Arabidopsis thaliana: one gene and its partners. The protein of the gene in region 2 interacts with the protein of the main gene of each other region in a pairwise test. Each region holds a gene or a part of one and is shown on either strand. Other genes may lie near its edges. The genes, in order: NF-YB5, NF-YC5, NF-YB6 and LEC1.

What was found.
Region 1: the proteins of NF-YC5 (region 2) and NF-YB5 interact in a two-hybrid assay, tested with the Arabidopsis thaliana proteins (one large-scale study listed by BioGRID).
Region 3: the proteins of NF-YC5 (region 2) and NF-YB6 interact in a two-hybrid assay, tested with the Arabidopsis thaliana proteins (one large-scale study listed by BioGRID).
Region 4: the proteins of NF-YC5 (region 2) and LEC1 interact in a two-hybrid assay, tested with the Arabidopsis thaliana proteins (one large-scale study listed by BioGRID).

The regions. Positions count from the first base shown.
Region 1 is NC_003071.7:19,581,960-19,585,981, reverse strand, and holds NF-YB5 (nuclear factor Y, subunit B5), read left to right. Parts: upstream 1-2,363; 5' UTR 2,364-2,561; coding exon 2,562-3,044; 3' UTR 3,045-3,324; downstream 3,325-4,022. UniProt on the Arabidopsis thaliana protein: Component of the NF-Y/HAP transcription factor complex. The NF-Y complex stimulates the transcription of various genes by recognizing and binding to a CCAAT motif in promoters.
Region 2 is NC_003076.8:20,559,934-20,564,008, forward strand, and holds NF-YC5 (nuclear factor Y, subunit C5), read right to left. Parts: upstream 1,296-4,075; 5' UTR 1,238-1,295; coding exon 677-1,237; 3' UTR 501-676; downstream 1-500. Other genes in the region: AT5G50500 (uncharacterized protein), read right to left, coding at 2,217-2,624. UniProt on the Arabidopsis thaliana protein: Stimulates the transcription of various genes by recognizing and binding to a CCAAT motif in promoters.
Region 3 is NC_003076.8:19,312,525-19,317,258, forward strand, and holds NF-YB6 (nuclear factor Y, subunit B6), read left to right. Parts: upstream 1-2,253; 5' UTR 2,254-2,536; coding exon 2,537-2,603; exon of another isoform or gene 2,604-2,813; coding exon 2,814-3,451; 3' UTR 3,452-3,645; downstream 3,646-4,734. Other genes in the region: AT5G47660 (Homeodomain-like superfamily protein), read left to right, coding at 484-926, 1,359-2,112; TRM10 (tRNA (guanine(9)-N1)-methyltransferase-like protein), read right to left, coding at 3,805-4,056, 4,161-4,734. UniProt on the Arabidopsis thaliana protein: Component of the NF-Y/HAP transcription factor complex. The NF-Y complex stimulates the transcription of various genes by recognizing and binding to a CCAAT motif in promoters. Plays a role in the regulation of the embryogenesis.
Region 4 is NC_003070.9:7,726,758-7,732,115, forward strand, and holds LEC1 (Histone superfamily protein), read right to left. Parts: upstream 2,893-5,358; 5' UTR 2,815-2,892; coding exon 2,763-2,814; intron 1,658-2,762; coding exon 993-1,657; 3' UTR 820-992; downstream 1-819. UniProt on the Arabidopsis thaliana protein: Component of the NF-Y/HAP transcription factor complex. The NF-Y complex stimulates the transcription of various genes by recognizing and binding to a CCAAT motif in promoters. Acts as a central regulator of the embryogenesis.

The DNA of each region.
Region 1 (4,022 bases), on a different chromosome or scaffold from region 2:
AAAGAAAAGAAAAAAGACAAGACTAATTAAAGACAGACTAACAATTTGTATTAAACATACTGAAACAATGTTTAATTCAGCATGGACCACGCACAAAGCTACTCGCACGCTTAATAGATTCACTATACTCGATCTTTACAAGTGGGCAATAAAAATGCCATCAAATATATATATATATATATATATATATATATATATATATATATATATATATATTGCTTATGCTGATCTTAGTTAATTAGATTACTATAATTGCATGACTATATATACCAGCTTTTTTATTCGACGATATGAATAAATATATGCGTTTGCGATTTAATTCAATTTAATTAAATTTATTTTATTAGACATTGGAGAATCGAAAATATATTCCTTAATAACAACTTTAAAAAATCACTAGTCGTTTCCTTTTCTATCAAGCCATACTTGAGAGGACATTTCACAAAGGTGTTATTTTATCGACCAACTTTAGGATTTAATATCTTAAATTTTGTACTATATAGATTTGTATATTCACGTTCTCATGGTTTCAACAACTAATTAATGCTTTATATGTTTTCTCCCTGAAATTCCAGCAAATACACATATTATATACACACAGTTTTTCATTAGTAGTAATTCTTATCTAAGTAACTAAGTAAGGCGCATCATTAGTTTTTCTACTAAACATACTTTTGGTGTAGGATTCGAAAAATAAACTTCCATATGCAACCATATGACCTAGCTAGTTTCATTATTACAACCTTAAACCGTTTGAAACCATTTATGACGAGTCAATTTCATCTTTTGATTAGGAGGTAGAGAACCAAGTTAATGAGCAAGTAATACTAATAATTACTGTTTATAATATAGAAATGCTATGAACGTCATCATGCATCGTTCAATAATTAATTAATATCTAAAGGCGTTCAACATTTGTTTATCCGTTTCAAGGTGGTCCGATCCACCATCGGTCGACACTTGTCCTCACTTTGTTAATGATTTTACATATATGTATATGTAGCTGTAATATTTAACTAATGACTTAGGTTTTTCGGGAAAACAAATAACATAAAATAATAGCCAACATATCATACTTCTAGAACACCATGCTCTCCAAAATCTTGTAAAATCCTCTATGTAATTTATAAATCTATCTTTACATTACTTCTTTAAATAATAAATGGGAATGTTTTGCTAAACAGCTCATATTATTCTCATCCATAGTAAGGCGACAAAGCTTGTAAATGTTTTCGTCTCAATATAATGCAGAATTTACATAATGCTGTATAGCCAATCAAAATAAATTAAAGTTTAAAATATAAATAGCTAGTTAACTAACTAAATCACTGTTTTGCGGATATAAACTAAATTTCGTCTAATAATTAAATACTGGTAAAAAGTAAGTAAAAACATAAAATCACATATAAGAGGAAATATATATATATATATATATATATATATTATTAATCCAACTAGTTTTGATTTGAAAGTTCATAGAATTTAAATGGTAGTTTGATTAAAGTAGGTTATATCATCGAGATTGAGTTCTAGATGGATAAGAAAAACCTAATGTGTTGACAAAATATATATATCAAAAGTGTGGTGAAACAAAAAATTATGTATTTCCTCAGTTCGAAAATATAAAATATTTTAGTTAAAAAACGATTTTTTTTTTAAAACAACATTATTAATAAGTAGTTGAAAATATAATTCAACCAAATATTATTTATAGCCTCTTCAATTTTGGCAAGCAGACTACTAATTATAGACCACAAGACGTGCTTTTATATGGTCCACGAGTTCGATATTATCGTTTATTAAAGTGACTAGCTCTTAAGGAGGAATGTGGAATAATTGAATAATTTTTGGTTGAGGAGAGTTTCCAGACTAACTGGAGTGTGGAGTCAATCCACAGATAGACGGTATTGACTTAAGCAGGAGGACCAAAACTTCCTTTTTAGGGTAACATCAAGTACGTCATCAACCCCAAACTATTTTCGCCTTCACGTACGTTGAGGATATCATATCATATTCATTCCCAAAGGCGAGATAATTCACTACTAAAGGAATGATATATGTGTTATATATTCTTAACACATTTCAACATTATTTTGTTTGCAACACATCTTATTCTATGATTACATTTTAATTGTTTTAACTCAACCAAAAGGGTTTAGGAGAAAATAATTAGAAGAAAATTGAGAGAGAGAGAAATTAGCTAGACCTGCCACATTGTCTCCCCTGTGACCTAGACCACTCTCATTGGTTTGTATGACACGTCACCACCATTCTCTGACCAGACAAACATAGATAGATACTCCTTAATTAGCTCTCTTGCCTTTCTACTTATATATAAAGCTAATTTAACTACACAAATCTCTCTGTCAAAACGAATATTTTTTTAGATGTATACATAATAAACACATTTATGTTAAAACCTCTCCTTTTTCTGTGTGCCATATAGTTTGGCAAATTACATATCTTCGTTCTATATCATCATTCGTTGTTGTGAATCATACTGAAACGAACCCCTCACCAAACAAGATTTATAGATCCTCTGCTTTAATTATAAGATTCTGATGGCGGGGAATTATCATTCGTTCCAAAATCCAATCCCTCGATACCAGAATTACAACTTCGGGAGCAGCTCATCTAATCATCAACATGAACATGATGGGTTAGTGGTGGTGGTGGAGGATCAACAGCAAGAAGAAAGCATGATGGTAAAAGAACAAGACAGGCTACTTCCGATAGCAAACGTAGGAAGGATCATGAAGAACATCCTCCCAGCAAACGCAAAGGTCTCTAAAGAAGCCAAAGAGACTATGCAAGAATGTGTGTCCGAGTTCATTAGCTTCGTCACGGGAGAAGCATCCGATAAATGCCACAAGGAGAAGCGAAAGACCGTTAATGGAGACGATATCTGTTGGGCTATGGCTAATCTAGGGTTTGATGATTACGCCGCCCAGCTCAAGAAGTACTTACATCGTTACCGAGTTCTCGAAGGTGAGAAACCTAATCATCACGGCAAAGGAGGACCTAAATCCTCGCCAGATAATTAAAATTCTTCCATCGCTTTTTGATTTTCCTTGATTAATCTCCATGTCATCATCTTCCTCTTTAGGACCAGCTATCTTTTTCTATCTTCTCATATATTGTTCTACATATATAAATAAATTTTATGTATATGATGATATAACATGTATGTGGTGTGAGGTACTGAACAAATCTGTGTTAATTCTTCCAGCTGATTTTGTTATTTTCTATATTTTTATTTATTTACATATATTGGAGTGGAGATCGATCGATGTGTATATTATGAACCATTTTCGGGATTTTCTTTTGGTTGCTTCATTAATGCTTTTTAAACAATTTATTCAGATTTAATTAATTTTCGACTGGTATAATTAAATAAAATTAAATCGAGCATCATACAACAACACAAGTCCTGCCACAACCAACCAAACCGGTTTTTAACTGTTTACCATCTAACTTTTAAAACCGTCAATCATGAAGATGAACTAATATATCATCAACTTTGTAGATTAATTTCGACAGTGAGGATATATACTACCATGTCCCTTTCCTCTGATCTAGACTACTTAACCCTCTATATATAAGAAATCAACTTTGCAATTTCGTAGTTTGTGGAATTCTTATTCAGTTAAATCAATTGATTTCTTTCGACAAAAAGCGAAACTTAGTCGACTTTCAGTATTTAGATATATTTTTAGATTATGGCATTTGCATATAGATTATTCGCATTCATTTATCCACACTAAAATGCTAGCTATTCCGTACACATCATATAGAAAAATAAAATTTACTACTTCGATATTGTTTTCTTTAAAGCCTAATTGATATTTAGACCTTATGTCGATATAGATTAATTCTATTTTCGACGTGATTCACTTTCTAAACAGTATATAGTACTAAGAAATAAAAATGGGCTAAATTGATTAGTTAAGAGCGAGTGGTCCATAAATCCAGATCAGTTCTCACATGTTATTTACTAACACAAGATCCCTGGACCTTCCACA
Region 2 (4,075 bases):
GAGAAATATATAGAAATGATAATTAGAAAAAACAAAAACAAAAATAATTCAATTAATAACTTCCTCATAAGAGTTCGCTAAAACCGCGCTAAAATTTCTTGAAAGACAAAATTCAAATAAATCGTTTGTGCGCCAAATTCCGTTGGAAAACAAAGAATAAGAACGAAAAATGAGTTGGAAAATTTTTAAAATAGATTCAGGTTTCAAAATAAGTTTTTTTTGCTAGATCTCTGGATCTTGTTGCCTCTAGAATGTAATCTAACAAAAAGCTGCAAACACAAAAGAGTCTTGACAAGTAAAAGTGATTAAAAAAAAAAGAAATAGCCGAATAAACATCCTTGTTTACAGTACCCTATCTCTTATGAAATAGATTATAATATATGATTCTTTTCTACTCTCATAAGGAATCACTAGAAGATTATGTTTCCATGGGTAAACTGAGGACTTTTTTATCCGTAATCCTTGTGTTTTTGTATGCATAAATTAATCTAAAGCCAATATTCATAAACCATTAGATTCATTTGAAAGACAACAACAGAAATACATTCTTTTTTTTTTTTGGACAAAACAACAGAAATACATTCAACAACTAAAAAACATAACATTGAAAACATAAGCAGAACTCAAAAAGAAATTCAAGTTCTCACAACAGCGGTTACAAAACCCAATCCAAATATTAATTCCCACCGTTTCCTCCATTTGCCCCAGTCGCATCCTCCTCGGTCCAAGCTCCAGGCATCTGCGGGTGTGGCGCGTGTATTCCTAAACCGTAACAAACCGGAGTTCCTATCACCGTTCCCGGCGGCAGTTCTTCATTGTTAAGATCTGGCACAGCCACATGATCAGCAACATCGTCCACAGGATCAGCAGCGGCGACAACGGGCTCTCCCTCGTCCTTAGGGACATCATCACGCAAGAAATCAAAGATGACGGTTTGAGACACTACGGCATCAACATCAGATTTCCGTATCGTGAGTCGGTTGCTCTCTTGAGCATGGAGCCATGAACGCATCGTGAGGTCCATGACAAACATTTCACAAGCCTTAGATAAGAGATTTGGAGCCTCAGCAGCGATCATACTCACATCCGGATCAAACTTCATTATCCTCTTGATACGAGAGATGGGGAACTCGTGATTCTTGACATTCAAGTCACCTTCCATCCCCTTTGACCAGAAACTCTTTAGTTGCTCGTTATCTTTCGGTGGCTGTTGGTGGTTGTTGTTGTTGTTCTCCATTTTTTTTTTGTTTGAAGTGTTTGGGTTTGAGATATTTTTATGTGGAGGTTTGCATATATAAAGGAAAATTAAGCGTATATAAGATATGGTAGGATAAGATTAAGAAGTGATCTCTTTACATATATGAATCTCAACCTATTTAGTAGTTTGTTAAGAATATTTAATGTTATTAACTGTATGTGTGTGACTGACAGACTTGTGGTTGGTATTATAAGAAGAAAAAAGAAAGAGATTTGTTTTTACTTAAAGTGTATATTATATACCAAATAATAGTCTTATAAAAATGAAACAAAAAAAAAAATACCTTTTTCTCTATAAAATTGAAAGTTAAAATTTTGCTGTACAAAACTTAGTTTTGAATATCTTGTTAAAAATGATGTTTTCAAATGTTAAATGTGAAAGCATAATTTGCTCAAAATTTTAAGAGAATTTTAATAAGAATTTGCTCATGATGTTAAATTGAATTTTACTTAATTTACATTGGTTCAAATTAATGTATGAAACGATATATAACAATAATATATGAATGTACAAAGTACAAATCCTGTAGTCCCTCTAAAAGTTAAATTTTGGTTATTTCTCTAATTATTTGATTTGTTAACATGAGGAGGTAGACACTCAAGAGAGAATCTCACATTTTGATGTTTAACTGCAAAATAAAAGAGAGATCATTAATAAATATGTTAGTAAATTTTGTCAAACAAAATATTAAATTTAAATAAAAAGTGACCAGTTTGGAGTTGGATTGTTCCAAAAAGTGAACAGTTTGGAGTTAAACAAGAGTAGCCGTTTTATTTTGGCGCCTCCTTCTTCAAGATATTACTGCATTACTCCTCCATAACCACATTATCAGTTTCATCACTCCTCAGTAGCACCAAAACTCTTGTGTGGAGAAGAGGAAACACACCTTTCAATACTCAGTTTGATTATACTCGTAGCCTTTCGAACCAATGCACTTCAAAGCCTATTTGGCGAAATCTCAAGTCTTATCACATCTATAGACTTGAGATTTTCCCAAATAGGCTTTGAAGTGCATTGGTTCGAAAACATAAATGGTGGAAAGAGATAGATGGTTTTTGCACAAAGTTCGATAAATATCAATCTTGAAATTCAAAAACCAAAGATATCGTTTCCCCTTAAGATCAGATCTCGAAGTCTTAGATAAGGAATCCATAAAACTTGTTAAAAGAGTACTACTCCTAAACAAACAACTCATGCAGGAAGCTTTGCGCGGGTGTTGGAACTTGTTTTTGATGAAGTGGTTGTGGCCACTTTTCCGGTGAAGACGTTCATCGGAATGACCGGTTTTTCGGCACAATAGAATCATTGTTGCAAGCACTACGCGGACCGTGGTGGTGCATTGGAATGTCAAAAATGAAGTTATCATTTGAATGAGAAATGAAGGTCCAAAATAGCTGCCTTGGTATATAATATACAGTAAGTAAGAGGAGAAATCCAAACATACATGGGTTGGGTTTGAGATTTGAGAGTTGGGAAATGGGCTTACAACCAATAAAAAATATCTACCTTAATGATAGAGTTTTGTAACAACAACAAAAAATCAGTTATGACAATTAAGGTCAGAAAACGTTTTTGACATTGTTGTGAGAATCAAAATCTCATAAATTTTCGTTAAGGTGAGATCACCTCATGAATATATATACGTTGAGCTTGGGCTATGTAAGTCAAGTCATTGTCTTCTCCTTCTCTTCATAAGATCACAAACATCAAAATTCCTCTCTTCTCTCTTCTTCTTTTGTTTGGGTCTGAGAGTGTAACACAAGACTAGTATTCGTTCGGCTTTTGATTTTGAGTGTTGCCAATGAAAAGAGATAACAATTTTCTCATGCGACTCTAATCGTCATTAAACCCTCGCACTACGAGGAGATGTTTGAGTTATAAAGGAGAGATCATCAAAGCTCTCGACTCTGTTAAGCACCGTCAATCTCCGTTCCTCAATCATCTTTTTGGTATTGTTGAATTTCATTACCTGTTCTATATTAGTTGCTTTAAGTATTAGGTAGTGTCTATGTTAAAATATTCGTCGTACAAAATCTAGTGGTGGGAATTAACAAAAAAAAATAAAAAATCTAGTTGTGGGTTTTATTTTTCTATTTTTGTTCAACCATTATCTATCTTCTAAAATAGTTATGGTCTACTCTCAAAGAACAAGGTTGCGTATAATGTAAACATGGTTTTTTTGATGACTAAATGTAACATTTATACAAAAAAAAATATTTGGAGAAATTGTTTCAGCATTGTTACAAAATTAGAACTTATATTGTTGCAATTTTAGGAATTTTAATTTTCCAATCAATTTGTCTATTTTGAAAGATCTTGTGGCACTATTTTGACGAAGATAAGATGGAAAAGGATGATCAATAGCGGAAAGAAAGAGCAAAAGGAAGAGCAAAATGGAAATGGATGACCTTCTGGATCATTTTCACCTCCTTTACCTATAAGCAACTGAAAAGCAACTTGATGTGAGAACCTGAATAGTTCTTTCCTTGGGTATGTCCTTAGATTTTGATGGCGACGGTGGTATGCATTGGTCCATAAGGTTGTCTCTCAAGAACCTTTCAAGTTGAGTATATATTGGCTTAGTGGTGAGAAAAATGGATATGTGGGTTTATTGAAGAAGTAGATTGATTCAGGGTATTACAGGATGAGTGGATGCTTCTCAATTGGGAAACATATAAGCAACGACTCTCTCAACTCGTTCTCACATAGAGTTGATGTGGACAATAGGTAACAAAGGATAATGCACATATATCCTAAAAAATGCAATATTTTGGCTCTTTATGCAAACTGGTCACTATCTTGGAATATTTCAACTTC
Region 3 (4,734 bases), 1.2 Mb from region 2:
ATAAAAACTTCAATATTTTCTGTTTAAGAAGGTTAAGGTCAAAGGTTAATACGTACGTGGAATAGTTTCTCTGGATTGTTTGTGTTGTGACACCTACGCTTGATAGAGAAATTACCAATGATTTTCTTCTAATTTTTCTCAGATTCCCAATCTTAATATGGATTATGGATTATGATATAAAATATGTCGGTATCTCCGCGGCTTTCGCTGAGCCACACGGGGCTAAAGTGTTTTTTGCCTTTACACAAAACTGGTGTAGATACAAATTACAGAACATATTCAGCTCAGGTGGGCTCGGGTCGGGTCATATAACGACGGGTAAGAAAACGACTGAAGTGAAGTGAGGATAAAATGGAGGTTATGTTACTCCTTTGAGGGTATAAAGGTAAATATAGAGTTTTTTACCCTTTGAATTGCTTTTACTTTGGGCAGTCTCTTCTGGATTTCACGCCGCCCATTTTATTTTTTTTACCTTTTCCCGAAATGGAACTTCTCGCCGGCGACTGTCGGAAACGAGTCGGCGACGACTTTGAGGAAGATATTAACCCATTCGATGGTTCGGACGGTGGTTGCGGGTGGATGTACGGTACCCGTCAAATGGGTTCTAACGGAAACGACGACGCTTTGGCTACGCTCGCAGACTTGGCTTCGCCTCCTCAGAAATTGAAACCTATAAGGTGTGGCGTTAAGCTTCCGTCGTCGTCGGAGGATCGACATCCTCTTGATATTCTCGCCGGAACCCTAGATAGGCTGCCGGAGATGGGTTTTGGCTGCTTCGAAGCTCCTTTGGGATCGAAGATTGCTGACGTGGAGGAAAGTGGTCAATTGACTCGTGGGTTTTCAAAGGAAGAGGATGATTCTCTTCCTCCTCTTCAAATGGAGTTTCAAGCTCGAAATCGCATCTCTTGGGATGGTCTCTCTCTCAGGTATAAATCTCACCATTAAAAATGTGAGCTTTTTGTTCAACTTTGGATCTGTTACTGTGAAAAGTTGTTACTTTTTTTCTGTATTATTAAGAGTCTAATTTTTTTTCACGTTTATTAGAAGCTTGTTTGGTAGAGACCTCCTAAACACATTCTCTTCCTCTTGATATATTTGAGCTTTGCGGTATCATTTGATTCTAGATTGGTTGACTGGTGCATCACTGAACACTCTCAGCTTAAAGCATTAAACTTTGCAGATATCAATCAGATTGGTGTGCCGTCATTACAAGCTTTTACAGTGTTGGTTTATACCACTTCTAAGCAGTGTTTGTCTATATATTCTGCGGAACTTTTGGATTATTAGTTCTTAGATAGTGTAACCATGTTGGAAGCTTTGAGTTTTTGATAAGTACTTTCCAATTTTTGATTTTGCAGCTCCTCTGTTGATAGCAGCGATAGTGACTCATCTCCAGACGTTCGCAAGACCGTCACGGGTAAAAGAAAGCGGGAAACAAGGGTAAAGCTGGAGCATTTCTTGGAGAAGCTTGTGGGGAGTATGATGAAGCGGCAGGAGAAGATGCATAATCAGTTGATTAATGTGATGGAGAAGATGGAAGTGGAGAGAATACGCCGTGAGGAAGCTTGGAGGCAACAGGAAACCGAGAGGATGACACAGAATGAAGAAGCACGGAAGCAAGAGATGGCACGCAACTTGTCTCTCATCTCTTTCATCAGAAGTGTTACTGGTGACGAGATCGAGATCCCTAAACAGTGTGAATTCCCGCAACCACTCCAGCAGATTCTTCCGGAACAATGTAAAGACGAGAAATGTGAATCCGCTCAGAGAGAAAGAGAGATAAAGTTTAGGTACTCAAGCGGCAGTGGCAGCAGTGGTAGAAGGTGGCCGCAAGAGGAAGTGCAGGCATTGATAAGTTCGAGAAGCGATGTGGAAGAGAAGACGGGGATCAACAAGGGAGCGATTTGGGATGAGATATCAGCAAGAATGAAAGAAAGAGGGTACGAAAGATCTGCGAAAAAGTGTAAGGAGAAGTGGGAGAACATGAACAAGTACTATAGGAGAGTGACGGAAGGTGGGCAGAAACAGCCTGAGCACAGCAAGACTCGCTCATACTTTGAGAAACTTGGAAATTTTTACAAGACCATTTCCTCGGGAGAGAGGGAAAAATGAGTGAAAGATTTTAAATTTAGGTGTTTTTGGCACGCAAAACGGGAGAACTTGTAGATGATTACCTCGAGTTTAATTTTTATATCTTTGGTGTAGTTTATAATTTAAAACTCTACGGCTCTGTATTTGTAGAAGGTTCGAATAAAAAAGACAAATACGTTGGGGTGATTGGGATTTTGTAACGGCTAAGGGAGACGAGGAGAAGGATCCTCGGTCACATCGATTATGGCTGCCACGTTGTTGAACTTGTGAGGTCTGAAATTACAAATGCTGACACTTGCCAACACTATTAGCTTTATTCCAATTACTCTTTCTTCTCTCTCATTCCATTCTCTTCTTCAAATGCTTCTTAATTTCGGGCATTGGTTATTATTATTTATAGGGATATTCACAAACACAAAAGTCGTGTATTTAGAACAAGAAAGATATGGAACGTGGAGGCTTCCATGGCTACCGCAAGCTGTCCGTGAACAACACCACTCCTTCTCCACCAGGTAGTGCCATTCTCTATACCCCCTCTTTTCACAGGCTCTCTTCATTTCAGTTGCATGCGAAACCATTCTCTGCAATCCCTCCATTGTCATGTCTGTACTCTTTTCATGACGAACAGTTAATGAAATAGCTTTTCAATCTTATAAACCGCGCATGCAGACGTCATCGAAGCCATTATGCACTAAAACTTCCATTTTTCTTATTTTTGTTAGGATTAGCAGCGAATTTTCTGATGGCAGAGGGCAGTATGCGTCCTCCAGAATTCAACCAGCCTAACAAAACCAGTAATGGTGGTGAGGAGGAGTGCACGGTGAGGGAGCAAGACAGGTTCATGCCTATTGCCAACGTGATACGGATCATGCGGAGGATCTTACCTGCTCACGCCAAGATCTCAGATGACTCCAAGGAGACGATCCAAGAGTGTGTTTCGGAGTACATCAGCTTCATAACAGGGGAGGCTAATGAGCGGTGCCAGCGGGAACAGCGCAAGACCATCACTGCTGAGGACGTCTTGTGGGCAATGAGCAAGCTCGGTTTTGATGACTACATCGAACCCCTCACGTTGTACCTCCACCGCTACAGAGAGTTGGAAGGTGAAAGAGGGGTTAGCTGCAGTGCTGGGTCCGTTAGTATGACCAACGGCTTGGTGGTCAAGAGGCCTAATGGGACCATGACCGAGTATGGAGCCTACGGGCCTGTGCCAGGGATTCACATGGCGCAGTACCATTATCGTCATCAGAACGGGTTTGTTTTCAGTGGTAACGAACCTAATTCTAAGATGAGTGGTTCATCTTCAGGAGCAAGTGGCGCCAGAGTTGAAGTATTTCCGACTCAACAACATAAGTACTGAGAACAATGGCTAATAACATAGACAGCTGACAGAGTCATAACTGTTAGTAGGTGCAAGCTGTAGCTTATGAATTCAAGTTTAAGCGAAAACAATGCTGCTTTTTCTTTGTTTATTATCTATCTAGTTGAAAGAACATTGTGTTTTTCATCTGATCTGTCTTGTGGTAAAGTATGTCAATAAAGCATTAGTTTTGCAAACCGCATGCATGTGATATTACAAAATTCACGGTGAATTCGTAATGCGTCTTGGTTCAAAATAGAAAGAGACTAAACATTCCAGATTTCAATTCTCAGCTACAGAAATGAGTGTTTAACGGATACAGAAACAACTCTCACAATCTTCATTCATTTCATTTAGCTACTACTTTCCAAAGGAACTTCAACGCATACCTTTTTCCTCTCCAGAAGATCATGTTTGTCTGCACTCTCGTTTGCCTCAGTATCTTTCTCCTGATGCTCTTCAGATATATGTTCCAATTTCGAACAATCAACAGGATCAAGTCCGGTTCTTTTCCTCTGAGGAATCACAGTGAAGAAGGCTGTTTTCCAGTCCCTAGTCTCCAGAAACTTGACGAGTATCTCCAAAACTTGGTTCACAGTGAGAACCTAAATCAATAAAAACCACAAATCTTACATTAACAAAGTACATAAAGTAGAGGTTTTTTGTGTTGTGCCCAATGAGACAAGAATTGAAGTGGCCATTTAGTTACCTGAGAACTTGACATTTTCATATACTCTCCTATGGGAAGCTTAGCTGTTTTAATGCCTTGTTCTTGAGCCTTGGTCATGGTGATCCCTTTGAACCGGTTTCGATCCACTAAGCCACCGATAATGTAGATATGCTTAGGGTCAAGATCATCCAAAACAGTTTCAGAATCAGCCGTAAGATACACCAAATTATCTTTCTGATCAGCCATGGCTTCAATGTAACACCTACTTTCCTTTTCAATGAACCATTTCTCAAAACCAGGAAGCTTGTCAAGCTCAGTACTCATCTTCCCTTGGACTCCTGTAAGCCATAGATGACAAGGTGAAGTGCTTCTCCCATTCACCGCATAGCAATACATAATCTGCTGAACGAGGCTTGAGATCTCAGACTCAGACATGAGATGAGCAAAATCAACATCTACTACGATCTTTTGACCTATTTCTTTAGCTTGATTCAGCCTCTCTATCTTCTTCTCCTTCTCCTCCGATCTCTTCTCCATTCTCTCCTTCCGCAGACTCTTCCTCGACTCAATAAGCTTCAGCCTCTCTTCCTCCGTCGCGTTCGCTAGGGTTTCT
Region 4 (5,358 bases), on a different chromosome or scaffold from region 2:
ACTAAATTTAATTTAAGCATCTCTATTTTTTCTTTTAAACAGAGTTAACTACCAAAGTTTTCTTAAAAGAAAACATAGCCTAAAATGATAAAAGAAACTACATTTTAGTTTAATCCATTGGGCTAAAATATTTGTCACTTTTTTAGATTTTGAGTAATTTGGTAACTTGCTTTCATTTTTAGCCCTTGATTTTCTTAAGATTGTCGAAGTATCCTAAACATCAACACAAATTAAAGACTTAAAGGGACTTTTTTCATTCAGCCATAAAATTTCAAAAGAGTCTTTACATAGAATAGACCTTTAAGAACTTTAAAAAGCCAAACAATAACCGGAAATTAAACTTGGAACTAGAAGAAACAGAGCAAGCATATGGGTTTCAATCTAACCGAAAGATAACCACCCAATAACCGGAGATGAACTTGAACCAGTTACAGAAAACCATGGCTAAGGTCTTTAACTCTTAGTCTTAGTAATGATCCTTGAAGAAGTGTAGGCAGAAACAGAGAGCGACCAACGTTATGAATCCTTGGAAAAGACAGAGATGGAGAAACCAGAGAGCAACGAGTCAGGATCACCCTAATGAAACTCAAGCACCCAAAAGAAAGCAAACTCAAAGAGGATATAAATCTTCAGAAGTTTGACAACTCAACGAATTTAGATTTTATAATCCTTTGGCTTAGTTGTGTAAAACTCAAAAAAGTCAATTAAACTTGGTTCCTACAATGTTTAGTTATCATCTAACTATGACAGCTTTTGAATTACAAAACCTTTAGATCATGTAAATATATAATGTTGCATAGAGTTTAATCCACAAAACAGTTTGGGTTAAATCATTTGCATATATAAATCAGTTTCTCATAAAGTATTGAAATACAACACTTTTCCTTAAAGAAGCAACATTATATAGAAATGTTATTGATAAGACATAAAAATAAAATATCTATCCAAACACATGTTTTGAACAGATATAAAAATGAAGAATAATTCCATCTTCACTTATACTGACCATAATGGTCAAAAGCCGGCATTCCGTTAATGGAAGACGAAGAGCCACCACCAACACTGGATTCATCTTGACCCGACGACCCGTTTTGGTAGTACCGACCACCTCCCATAACCATGGATTGGTCCAACATACCATAACCATAAGGACCCGGAGGAGGTAGGCCATGAGATGGGCCGTGAAACCCAATACCATTTCCTCCATAGGTTTGTCTCAACGACGGTGGCTCACCTCTAAGTGCAGAACCACGATCGGTCTCTATCTCACGGTACCGGTTAATGAACACGGTGAGGGGGTCCACGTAGTTATCGAACCCAAGCTTGCTCATAGCCCAAAGGATATCTTCAGCAGTTATGGTCTTACGTTGCTCACGTTGGCAACGCTCGTTGGCTTCACCGGTCACGAAGCTGATGTACTCGGAGACACATTCTTGAATCGTTTCTTTGGCGTCGTCAGAGATTTTGGCGTGAGACGGTAAGGTTTTACGCATGATTCTTATGACGTTTGCGATTGGCATGTATTGGTCTTGCTCACGAGCCACACATGGTGGTTGCTGCTGGACCACGATACCATTGTTCTTGTCACCGGCGCCGGCTACTACGACTGAGCTGGTCATTGGGGTTGGGTTGTTGCTGTGCTGGTCCAAGTTCAATTCTGTTCATAGAAAATACAGAGAGAAATTGAAATCTTTAGGAAATAAAAAAGATTAGTTGAAGTAGAAATGATGATTAAATTTGTAGGATACGAATGGATTAGAAGAAAACAAGAGAATCAAGGGACACGTTCTTAGTTACGGACCAATAAGATAAGAGTAAGTTTGTGGGGTCTACATTCTAGACTTATGGACCCCGTTGAGTAGACTGTTCAGATTCTTGCCGTTACGTTTTACATGTATACCAAAAAGCTTTCGCTTAGATTATTAATTAGAAAAACCAAAAACTCAAAATTTGGAGAAGAACATCAATTAATTTATGTAGACGAAGGTATGACTCAATAAAGTAGACATTTATTTCATGTGAAGGTTCCCAATGGTAAATGTTGAAAGAATCAAAAGATTGGAGTTAATGACATCCAGTAATTAAAAAATCAATAGTAAAAGGAAAATTTGGAGAAAATTTCACTTAGTTTTTTTCCAAAAAAATTACTGATAGATTTTGAATAAAAAAACCTCACACTAAAACTTGGGACTAGTATAAGATATATATATATATATATATAGTTTAAATGTTAAGTACTAAAAAAATTTGAGTTTCTATTTTTTTAGTGTTTTTGAATCACATGAACCGTAGATGTTTTTAGACAAGGGAAGAGACAAACGAGAATCTCGTTTTGAAACGAAGAAAAAAACTCAACCGTTACAACAAAGAAAAAAACGTTTTTAGAATCGAAATTTTTTTTGATAAAAGAAAGAAAACGATACTCAAAAACATTCCTGGTACATGCACGGGTATATTCAATGAACACATACGAGAGATTTGTTTAACTAATACCACACCATGGAAATATTTGGATAAAACTTTGACTCAGCCATGATGAAACAATACATATCAAACTCTTGCATGTATGTATATAAAATCGTCTTCTCCGGGCCATTCCCAAAACCTTCACAAATCTAAATTAAAAATTTCTAGAAAGAAAGCATTTAGTTCGTTGTTGCAAAGTCTCATAAAATTCATAAAGCATGTCTCCAATTTTTCATGAGCATATAAATATACATGGAGGCAAGTATATACTGTATAAAAATAGCCACTTAGATTACCAGAGATGGATTTTGGTAGCTGATAGTGAGAGAAGGGAGCTCCACGTTCCATTGTTTCTCTGCCGTCTTTTTTTTTTTTTGTTCTTTATAAAATAATTATTTGAGTGATTTGTTGCATGCAAAGAGAGGTTGATGGTTGAGTGGTTTTATAGAGAGATGATACAAATGGCAAAGGAGGCGGTTCTTACGAGGTCTATATCTCTTTCCCATTGGCTTGTCTCATTGGCTATGTGGCCAGTCAAACTGCTCTTCTCTCATTGGTTGTTTTTTTTCACAAATTACCAAAGTAATTAAGTAAAAATAAAGACTATTAAGAAAGAAAGAAAGATAAGAAGAAGATTTTTATACATATGAGGCTCTCTTTGTTTATATAAATTAAATGTTGTTTAACATTTTCTATTTATTTAGTCAATAAAGTATTCGATTATCGAACGGCTGAGAAAGATTGACGTGACGTTATTTTAGTCATATATTTTATTAAAATTTAATAAAATATAGGTTTCACTAAATTCTTTGTTTCTTAATTAATGAAATTGAAAATTAGTTTTAAAAAGATTCTCTTACTTAAAATGGTAAATTTTGGTATATTTGAATAAATATGCGTTACGAAAGTGAGTTATCACGTTTATTGTAATTTTTATTTAAATTAGCCTTTTAAAGTGTTTATAGGAAAATTACAAAAGGTTAGTACAAGATATTGGTGTTAGATGATGCATGTTACAATTGAATATTGCTTTACATTTTCTAATACATAATTAATCAACAAATAAAATAAAACCAACACCCTAGTAATGGAATGGTGGATAAAGATTTTTGAAAGATGGAAAAACATGAAGAATTTTGGATAGAGTTTACGGCCCAGTCCATGACCTGTTTTGGATCTAGCCCATACTAAAAACAAACCAACGAGAATTAACAAAGAACCAATATTGAATCTTTCCTGGCCAATGACCTCTCATTTCAAAATGAAGTTTAGAACTAAAATAATCTTACGCATATAAGATTATTTTAGTTATCATCAGTATGAAATCTCATGGAACTCTGCTAAAAGTTTTTTTTTTCTTTAAATGTTTCCATTCACTTTGCTTCCCTTAAAGATAAACCATTTTGAACATACATCTTTAGCAGAATCTAGAGAGATTATAAATAAAGAGGCCACATGCAGGTGGAGCAAGAGCAAGGAAAGGATAGCTAAAGAGATAGGATAATACAACAACTCAGTTAGGAGGCGGTGAATTGGTAAAAGTTTCATTGCAATTATACGCTCAACTTTCAAATAATAAACTAGAAGATTTACTTATTCTGAGGTTAAGGAAATATGACTTCTGGTAAAGGAGAGTTTGGTGTTGTCTACCATGATTTTCAATATATTGAACAAGCAGCCCATAAAGTTATCTCTCATTGCAGAATTTTTTGTAAGCTTCTTCGCATACATCATGAGTAGCACCTTTGACCATCTTCAAACATTGGTTTGGAACGCAATGTTTTGATACAAACTTCTATCGTGCTTGAGTAAGATATATACTCGTTCTATATCTTTTACCATCTTTTCAAGTAGTTTTTTCTTTTTTCAAGTATACCAACTTCTTTTTTCATATATAGTATTCTGATTTCTGAGCAACCATTTCTAATTAATTGTAGCTCGTAAGCTCTTTATTAAATTTAACTAAAAATCTTAGTTATATCATTATAAATAACGCATCGCATGTAGATGAAAGTATATAAATAATAACTTGTACACATGCACGTTTGAACAATCCTTAGAACAACCAATATATTTTTATCTGCATTACAACTGGCAGAAAAAAAGATTATGATGCATCTAATTACTTAAATAACCAAACTATATATAATAAGAGATGGAACAGTTTGGTAGATCCGGCGTTGAAATGACAATCCCGTAGGCTTAATAGCTATATCATGGCCATATGTTACCTCAATGAGAAGAGAAGAAACATCGTTACGTGAATATCTGAGCTTCTCTCGTGTATCCTTGCTTATTTTTCGCAAATTTAATATGTTCACGCAACAAGCATCATAATTTACTTCTTAAATAGCAGACATAATGATTACCATTTGCATAAATCCTTATTTCTTCCAAACTAACAACCCTCATCGCAATGATAGTAGGATCAAACTATACGAGCTTAGTAGTACTCATGCAATATTTTGAACCAGTAAAACTTACCCTTTTGTGGACATGCCTATGAGAGAAGAGATAAACTAATAACGTGAAGACTTGATCAATATTCAAGCTAGCTAGATGGTAGAAAATAATGCAATCATTTTTTATTAGCAAACGTTTATATTTCTCTTCTCGTAAATAAATCTAAAGAAAAGTTACAAAAAGAAAATTTATAAAGTTGTCACGTTTAGTGAATGTTTCTACTTTCTACTCTCGTAGATATGTCCAAAGCAGGGTAACTTTCACTGGTAGAAACATATATCTACTGTTTCCCTCAAATTCCATAACAAAATTCACATTATTATGGTGTGACGACATTTTGGGATTTCAATAGTGTGAAGAGTAGATAGGAGTTTGCTCAAAATCAACCACGTTGTAGGACGGCTACCTGATTCACCGGCCATCATCGCT